Linked DNA regions of Nothobranchius furzeri. The protein of the gene in region 1 purifies or fractionates together with the protein of each later gene. This does not show direct contact. Links are inferred from orthologs where the notes say so. Each region holds a gene or a part of one and is shown in the gene's direction. Other genes may lie near its edges.

Evidence for each region.
Region 2: the proteins of gemin5 (region 1) and snrnp70 purify together in Homo sapiens (affinity purification with mass spectrometry; 4 studies listed by BioGRID and IntAct, counting the BioPlex papers as one, with this or other methods). This does not show direct contact. The link is inferred for Nothobranchius furzeri from reciprocal best matches to the Homo sapiens genes GEMIN5 and SNRNP70.

Annotation. Positions count from the first base shown.
Region 1 is NC_091750.1:72,358,490-72,362,305, forward strand, and holds part of gemin5 (gem-associated protein 5), read left to right. Parts: intron 1-408; coding exon 409-590; intron 591-704; coding exon 705-856; intron 857-936; coding exon 937-1,035; intron 1,036-1,100; coding exon 1,101-1,233; intron 1,234-1,350; coding exon 1,351-1,516; intron 1,517-1,727; coding exon 1,728-1,940; intron 1,941-2,018; coding exon 2,019-2,104; intron 2,105-2,327; coding exon 2,328-2,410; intron 2,411-2,871; coding exon 2,872-3,005; intron 3,006-3,134; coding exon 3,135-3,208; intron 3,209-3,564; coding exon 3,565-3,746; intron 3,747-3,816. UniProt on the Homo sapiens protein: The SMN complex catalyzes the assembly of small nuclear ribonucleoproteins (snRNPs), the building blocks of the spliceosome, and thereby plays an important role in the splicing of cellular pre-mRNAs.
Region 2 is NC_091758.1:13,870,851-13,874,666, forward strand, and holds part of snrnp70 (U1 small nuclear ribonucleoprotein 70 kDa), read left to right. Parts: intron 1-215; coding exon 216-270; intron 271-342; coding exon 343-407; intron 408-494; coding exon 495-557; intron 558-1,630; coding exon 1,631-1,712; intron 1,713-3,816. UniProt on the Homo sapiens protein: Component of the spliceosomal U1 snRNP, which is essential for recognition of the pre-mRNA 5' splice-site and the subsequent assembly of the spliceosome. SNRNP70 binds to the loop I region of U1-snRNA.

The DNA of each region.
Region 1 (3,816 bases):
CCCCCACACAGATGAGTGATTTATAAAGTGTATCGGTTCCTCCTGCTGGCTGCTGGATCAGCTCATGAAGCCATGGACACGGGCATCACAGCAGATAAACTAAACATGTTTGTGGATTTATCAGCTCAGGGTTTCCCCCAGAAAAGTTCATAAGCGTGGCGGGGGTGGGGGCTGGGGTTGCACTACCATTCCTCATCCGTGAGAGTGTGTGTGTGGGGGTCACACCACCGTTCAGCATCAGCGGAGGAGGGGTGCGTAGTTTGTCTCGCCGTTCATCGTCCGTGACAGTGGAGAAGGTAGGGCCGGGGAGGGGGCGGGGCTTAGCCTGGTGGGGAAACCCTGTCAGCTGATAATGATTGACCATTAAAAACAACAAACAGGAAGTGATCAGTTATTTTGTCCCCTCAGAATCCCGTCTCAGCGGTGCACTGGTCCCCTGCGGATAAAAATCTGGTGGTCTCGGGCGACGAGAAGGGTGTGGTGGTCTGCCACTGGTTCCACACCGGAGATACGGCCAGCTTCTTCCCAGAACCCAGAACCATCTTCTGCCTGAGCTGTTCTCCTCACAGCTGGAAGTCTGTGGCTGTCGGGTAGGACCAGAACAGAGCAGCACATGGGTCAAAGGGACTCCATGTGTTAGACACACACACATTCTGCTCCCCAGTGTTTCAGAGGTGAACGGTAACGATGAAACACTTTTGTAGGTATAAAGATGGAATGATCGTGTTGATCGATGTGAGTAAGAAAGGCGAAGTGATGCAACGTCTCCGTGGACACGACAACGAGATCCACTCTGTGGCCTGGTGTCCTGTGACTGGAGAGGATGCCTTCGGCAGCAGAGCTGAGGATGGAGACGGTAACGCTGATGTCCCTTCTGTCAAAACTAAAGTGCACGTTTTACGTGGATCTCGGGTTTCATGTGTGGGTCTGCTGCAGGAGCTGATGGAGTTCCAACAGAAGGCGAGACGGGATGCTTCCTGGCTTCTGGGAGCAAAGATCAGACGGTCCGGATCTGGAGCACAGCGAAGGGAAAAGGTGCTGGATTTGATTTTAGTGGCAGCAGGTTAAAATCACAGAGGCTGACTCTTCTGCCGTCTCAGGCGTGATGACGCTGAAGCTGCCGTTCCTGAAGAGGAGAGGTTCTGCTGTCGACCCGGGAGTCAAAGAGAGGATCTGGCTCAACGTCCTCTGGCCGAAGGGCAGACCCACACAACTCATATCCAGCTGCTTCAGGTCAGGCGGTCCGGATGACCCGGAGGGCAACTTCTCATGTTATCAAAACCAGAACCATCCCAGAATTTCCTTTCGTGTCTAACTCCAGCTGGTTTCTGTGTGTGTTTGTGAGTCCAGTGGGGAGTTGGTGATGTGGGATTTAGCCAGTACAGGAAAACAGAGGTGGAGTTTGTTCGGATCGTCGTCTGAGGGTCAGAACCACAACCGGATCGTCTTCAACATGAGTTCTGTCCAACTGCAGGACGGCAAAGAGCTGCTCATCAGCACCTCCATGGACAGAGACGTGGGTCACTGTGTGTGTGTGTGTGTGTGTGTGTGTGCATGCGTGTGCGTGCGTGCGTGCGTGCGTGCGTGCGTGCGTGCGTGCGTGCGTGCGTGTGTGTGTGTGTGCGTGTGTGTGTGTGTGTGTGTGTGTGTGTGTGTGTGTGTGTGAGTGTGAGTGAGTGGGAGAGAGAGAATCAAATCAGAACCAACTGTTTCTTGATCCGGTCCAGATTAAATGCTGGGACCTGGAGTCTTTAGGCTGCTGCTGGACCCTCCCCACCCTGGGGGGTCACGTCTACACCCTGACCTTCTCTCCTGTGGGCGTGGCCTGCCTGGCGCTCGGCGTGGGCGACAACATGATCCGGGTGTGGAACACGCTGAGCTCTCAGAACCAGTACGACATCAGGTCCTTCTGGCAGGGGATCAAGTCCAAAGTCACGGCGGTGCGGCGGGTTCCGTTCCTGGAAACATTCCTGTAAATTCCTCAGGTTGGTTATAAATCCGTTTCCCGTCTCTTGCAGCTGGCGTGGCATCCGAGGAAAGAAGGCTGGCTGTCCTTTGGGACTGATGATGGAAAAGTTGGGATCTACGACGTTTTCTCTAACAAGTGAGATCCTCGGTGGAACTACCTCTGGTGTCATCGGTTTTCCAGATGACATTCCTAATCGGCTCCAGGATGTTCTGATTCAGTTTATTCATCGTTTTAAATAAAACTCCTTAAATTAAACTTTCATGAACTTTATTTCATCGTTACCTCTTAATCCTGAAACTCAGCTCGTAGGTTTTTCTGCAGCTCTGACGGCTCCTTTGCTCTGCTTGCTCTCCCCCAGGCCTCCTCAGATATCGAGCTCCTACCACAGGAAAACCGTGTACACGCTGGCTTGGGGGCCCGCCGTCCTCCCCATGTCGTTGGGTGAGTTCCTGTTGAACTCCTGGCAGCTGCTGCTGTTTGCTCTGAATCTTCTGACCCAGCACAGTCTGCACCATGGGACGCCTGGAGAAACCACGAGTCAGCAGAAAATCCCAACGTCTCCATGTGGCCTTTTGTAGTCAACTTTGTAATAGAAAGAGCCCCGCCCCTCCCATCAGCTGTGATGAGCACATGGATCAGCTGGGCCACTGGGCCCTGATGGCTGCAGCACCACTGATCTGCTGATGCCTCCTTCATCTGCAGCGTTGCCTCGTTGTCTCCGTTCTGTGGGGATTAAAGCTGCTGATGTTGGGATTACGGAGGGACAGGATAAAAAGAAACTAACGGCTAAACCTGAAACAGGACTTAGCCCCTCCCAGATTACAGCAAACCTGCTTCTAAAGTGACTCATCGTTTTATTGTGCTGAGTCATCCTCAGAAACATTTGTTTTTGTGGCGTTCAGGTGCAGAAGGAAAAGCGAGCTACAGCTTGTACAGCTGCTCCGGTGAAGGCGTCATCCTGCAGCACGACCCATCCAAGCTGAGCAGAGCGGCGGCAGACATCGATAAGCTGATCAGGGACACCAACAGCATCCAGGTGGGTGGGGTCCGAATGCCACACGGCCCGCCCTGGGGTTACCCGGTGATGGCTGAAGACCTAAAACCTGCTGGTGTCGTGTTGGCCGAGGCTGGATCTGTGCTGACCAAATGTTTTTACCTCCAACAGCACAAACTGTCTCCACACACAGACCTCAGCTGGAAACCAGATGGGAAGGCTGTTGCTATTGGCAACGAGGATGGGTGAGTGACCTCCGGGGGCTCGACCCAAATCGCTACACAGCAAGGCCTCCGGGTTTCCGAGTTGTCTAAATGCCCAAATCAGACCGAAAGGCGTCAAAATGTTTTTATGTGTCTTTGATCTCATTTATATTCATCCTTACTCAGCATGAAATCGTCTGAGTTTAAACCTCTGAGAGGTTCTGGAGTTGGATAGAAGAAAATCCAAGAACGTGTCAGGAAAACCGATTTATTCCAGAGTAGCGGCTTCTGGTTAAAATGCAACTTTGATTCAGAGCTTAACTGAGGTTTGTTTTAGGATGCTAATTTAAAATCCTCATGTGTTCATAACCATGCTTCTCTTCGCCCTCCCCTCACAGGAGCATCGATGTGTACCAGCCCCCCCACCTGAAGCTGCTGTGCAGCATCCAGCAGCATCACAAGATCATCAACACGCTACGATGGCACCCCGACCACAGCTCCGCCCCTGAGCTGCACGCCCTGCTGGCCTCCGGCTCCAGCAACGCCATCGTCTTCGTGCACGACCTCCGCTCCGTCCTAGGTGCAGCAAGTCCTCCTGTCATCCGTTACTACATTTGAAAAAATCTGCTTTCATTTGAAGATATTACATT
Region 2 (3,816 bases), on another chromosome or scaffold:
TGTGAACATCGGTGCAGCAGAATGCCTGATGACCCACCTTTCTGTCTTAAACACAGCGCCGCTACTCAAACATGTAATTAGGTGAAGCCCTCGTTTCTATATTTGACACCCATCAGATCATCATTCAGAAAACGCATCAGCGGCAGGTCTGGATCATGTCACGCATCCTTTTGTTTTCCTGTTGTGACTCAAGAGTTTTATGTCCTGTTTTTCAGAGGCGGGAAAAGATCGAGAGACGCCAGACGGTTTTGGAGACAGAACTGAAGCTTTGTGAGTGGGACATCAGATGTGTGCTGTGGTGCAAGGGTTTATGTTGACGCTATGTTGTATGTGTGATTTCAGGGGACCCCCATAATGACCCAAATGCACAAGGGGATGCGTTCAAGACGCTGTTTGTTGCCCGAGTGGTTAGTATGAAACCTGTCCTTAGTGTTAACTCTAGAACGAGTGTGTCACCGCTGCTAATGCTGGGTGTAACCCCGTCTCTCCTCCAGAACTATGACACTACGGAGTCCAAGCTTCGTCGTGAGTTTGAAGTCTACGGTCCCATCAAACGAGTGAGTTCATGGCTGATCTGCAGAATGCATTTGCATAGGGATGCACCCATGTGAAAATGTGGGCTGATTTTAATATGATGTTGCGTCCCATAAGTGATATTTACCAGTGTTTTATTAAAAAGGGTTTTTTAAAGAAAGATTGCACCTCATAGAAAACGTACTGTCATTTGTCAGGTGCACCTGAATGTAGCCTCGTCCAGAACAGAGCTATTAGATATTTATTAGGGGTTCATAAGTATATTACTGAGGTGGCCCTAGAGGGTGATGGGGTGGGAACCCTGTCTGGTCAAACGGCAGACCTCACCAGAAAGGTTTCTAACTGGGACAAATCTGATATCTTTGCTCTAATTTCCTTTAATAAATGTACATTTTTATTTTTTAATCATTTACAACTCAAACTTTCAACAGCTCCACCATTTGTTTAAATTTAAAGACCAGTGGAAATTTGATGTGCTTAAAAATTTATATTCAGTTCAGAAGTGATTTTATGACAGAGCCTTATGTTGCTTGTAATCTAAAAATAGGCAACAATCACTTTGTGCACAGTTGCGCACGAGGGTCCTGCCTCTCGCCATTGCAGTGGGGCGATGCAAAGGGTTACAGGAGGAGCAGCGTTTGTGTGATTTTAGATGTTCTAGAAGATGAATTTCATTCCCTGTTTATAGTCCCGATGTATAACAATAGTCTCCGATTGTCCGTTTGAAAAGATTCAGAGTAAAAATCCTGATGTATTTTGGTCATTTAATGGCAAAATGTGAAGTTGGCTTTTTGATAAATACATATAGTGTTAAAACCTAGACAACAGGTACTTCATCCCGTTGTGTCTAATGATTTTGTAAGCGTATGTCCATTTCTTCTTTTGTAAATAGTGTCTTATGAGCCTTTATGGACTGGGCACGTGTTGTGCATGACACTTAAGTAAAATGTATTTATTCATTCATGTCCTCAGCTGTAAGTACCATAATCGTACATAAAAGGTGGGATGGTGTTGTTATGGGAACCGGGCTGACACCGCTCTTGGTGTTGGTCTGAATGGTTGAGCTAACCAATGTCTTCATGTTTCTGTCTCCCAGATTTATATAGTCTACAACAAGAAGACGGCAAAGCCCCGCGGCTATGCTTTCATTGAGTATGAGCATGAGCGGGACATGCACTGTGAGTACCAACCTCTCTGCAGCCAGCTCATTCTGTATGTCAGCACACTCATGGGGTCATCTCTGACAAAAGGGACTTTTTTCATTTAAATTTACTTTAAAAACTTTTTAGCTACAGTTGTTGGGTGGACCATCTGATGGGGCAGATGATGTCATACCATCCAAGTCAGCAGATGACAGTTTACAGGCGAACCGTTTGCATGAAGCCATAGTCTGTTGTGCGTGCGTGTTTGCTGGGCATGTCTGATGTGTTGGTTAGTTAAAACCTGGGTTTGTGGGAGGGTGAGGCAGAGTGATCTATCTGGGGAGCGTAATAACGGAGGTCTGAGTGTGTTTTATCTGTGAACCTGAACATGTTTGCTTGTCGAAGGGCACATTGTTAACTGAGAGGTGTTGTAGTTCTGTGGAAGAGGCGCTCTGCTGGTTGGACTGTGATGGTAAGCTCAAGGTCAGACTGGACACCAAACATTGATGGAGCCTTTTGCTCGACACTCGTTGAATCCCACTTTGTCATATGACTAGCTTTGTGAGGTCTGTCCATTTTTATTGCTAGTCTTCAATTCTGGTCATGGTGAGTCACGGTACAACTCATTTGGTAAGATGGTTCTTAGTTTTTATCCAGTTTTGGTCTAAAGTGAACCAACTGTTATCTAAAGCTGAGTTTATGCTTCTTGGTTGGGTCGGTGCAGAGCTTCTAGTGTGACTACCATAACAGTCTGTAGAGGAACCCACCTAATAGCAGTGGGTGTTTTATCCCGATAGCTCTCTGTGCCTTTCAAACAATGGGGCTCGTGATCAGTGTAAACAAACCGTGTAAACAAACGTGCGTCGCAGAGTTGGGAGAAGGGACGTTAAAATCTCAGAGGATGCAGGATACAGGAATATGTTAAAGACGTCGGAACCGCTATGTGGACAGAATCAGCGTTGTAAACTGTTTGGATTCATGGGTGTTTCTCAATGTCAATTGCTCGCGGACCGTGTCGCTGTCAGCGGAGAGTCGATGCGCTCGGAACGCTTCCCTTCCATGCGTCTGTGTGTGGGGATCTCTAGGCGTGGTGCGGCGCCTGAGCCTGTGTAGGGGAAACACTGGCTTCCGATAGAAAACAGACGGTGAAAGTCTAGGATTAGAAAATCCTGACAGATCTACGTCACACTGTCACTATCATTCATGGACTCACCATCTTGACTCACGACGGGAAAGGCTGTTGTTCGTTTAGCGACCAGCAAACAGCAGAGATCGTGTCCGCTAGTAGAAGCTAACCATTAGCAACTCCACCACACAACAAAACTCCTCCAGGCTTGTTATTTTTATCTTGAGAGGCGCTACATAAAAGATTTGTTTTCTTTCTTTTTATTTGTGGAGGTAAAACATCAACGTTGCAAATCAGTAGTAGAGTGAATTTTTCTAAGCAAAACCTCTGAAAAGGAACAATAAATATTTCAGGAGTTCAAAACCTTTATACAATGTAATCATGCCCTTTATCAATAATTTAAATAATGTGTGTGTGATTTACATGTGTTAATACAGATGTGAAATCAATTCATGTAAAATAATGTGACTATTTCTCAGACTGCAATCGTATCACCAAAATATATCATTGTTGCAACCCTAGTTGTATCAGTGCGCCTGCATTTGCTTACCAGTATGTATGTGTGGCCTGTGTGTGTATGATGGGTAGGGCTGAAACAAATCATCGAATGGTTCGATTCATTAAATTCCTCAATTCATTATTTTTTACTGATTCAAACACTTTTTACTGGCGCACTATGTGCTGATCTTTGTAATATACAACTCTCTGATGACTTACTATTATTTTTATTCTGAGCTACTACAGCAGGTCTGAGATTGATTAAGTATTTTTGAATTTGATTTGAATTGAATTGAATTGATCTAGGTGCAGTGGAGGAGAATACAGGAACCAGCAGAAACAGAAGCCGTTGTAAAAGGCAGAAATGGTCCAAAGTTTGGGATCAAGAGTTAAACTACGGGAAGTTAGGCTAATTCTAAGCTAGCGCGTAGCACGCTCACAATCAAGTAAAGTTCAGAAAAATGTGATGGTTGTGAACAACTCTACAAGAAGAAGAAAGTTCCCCGCCATCCTGTC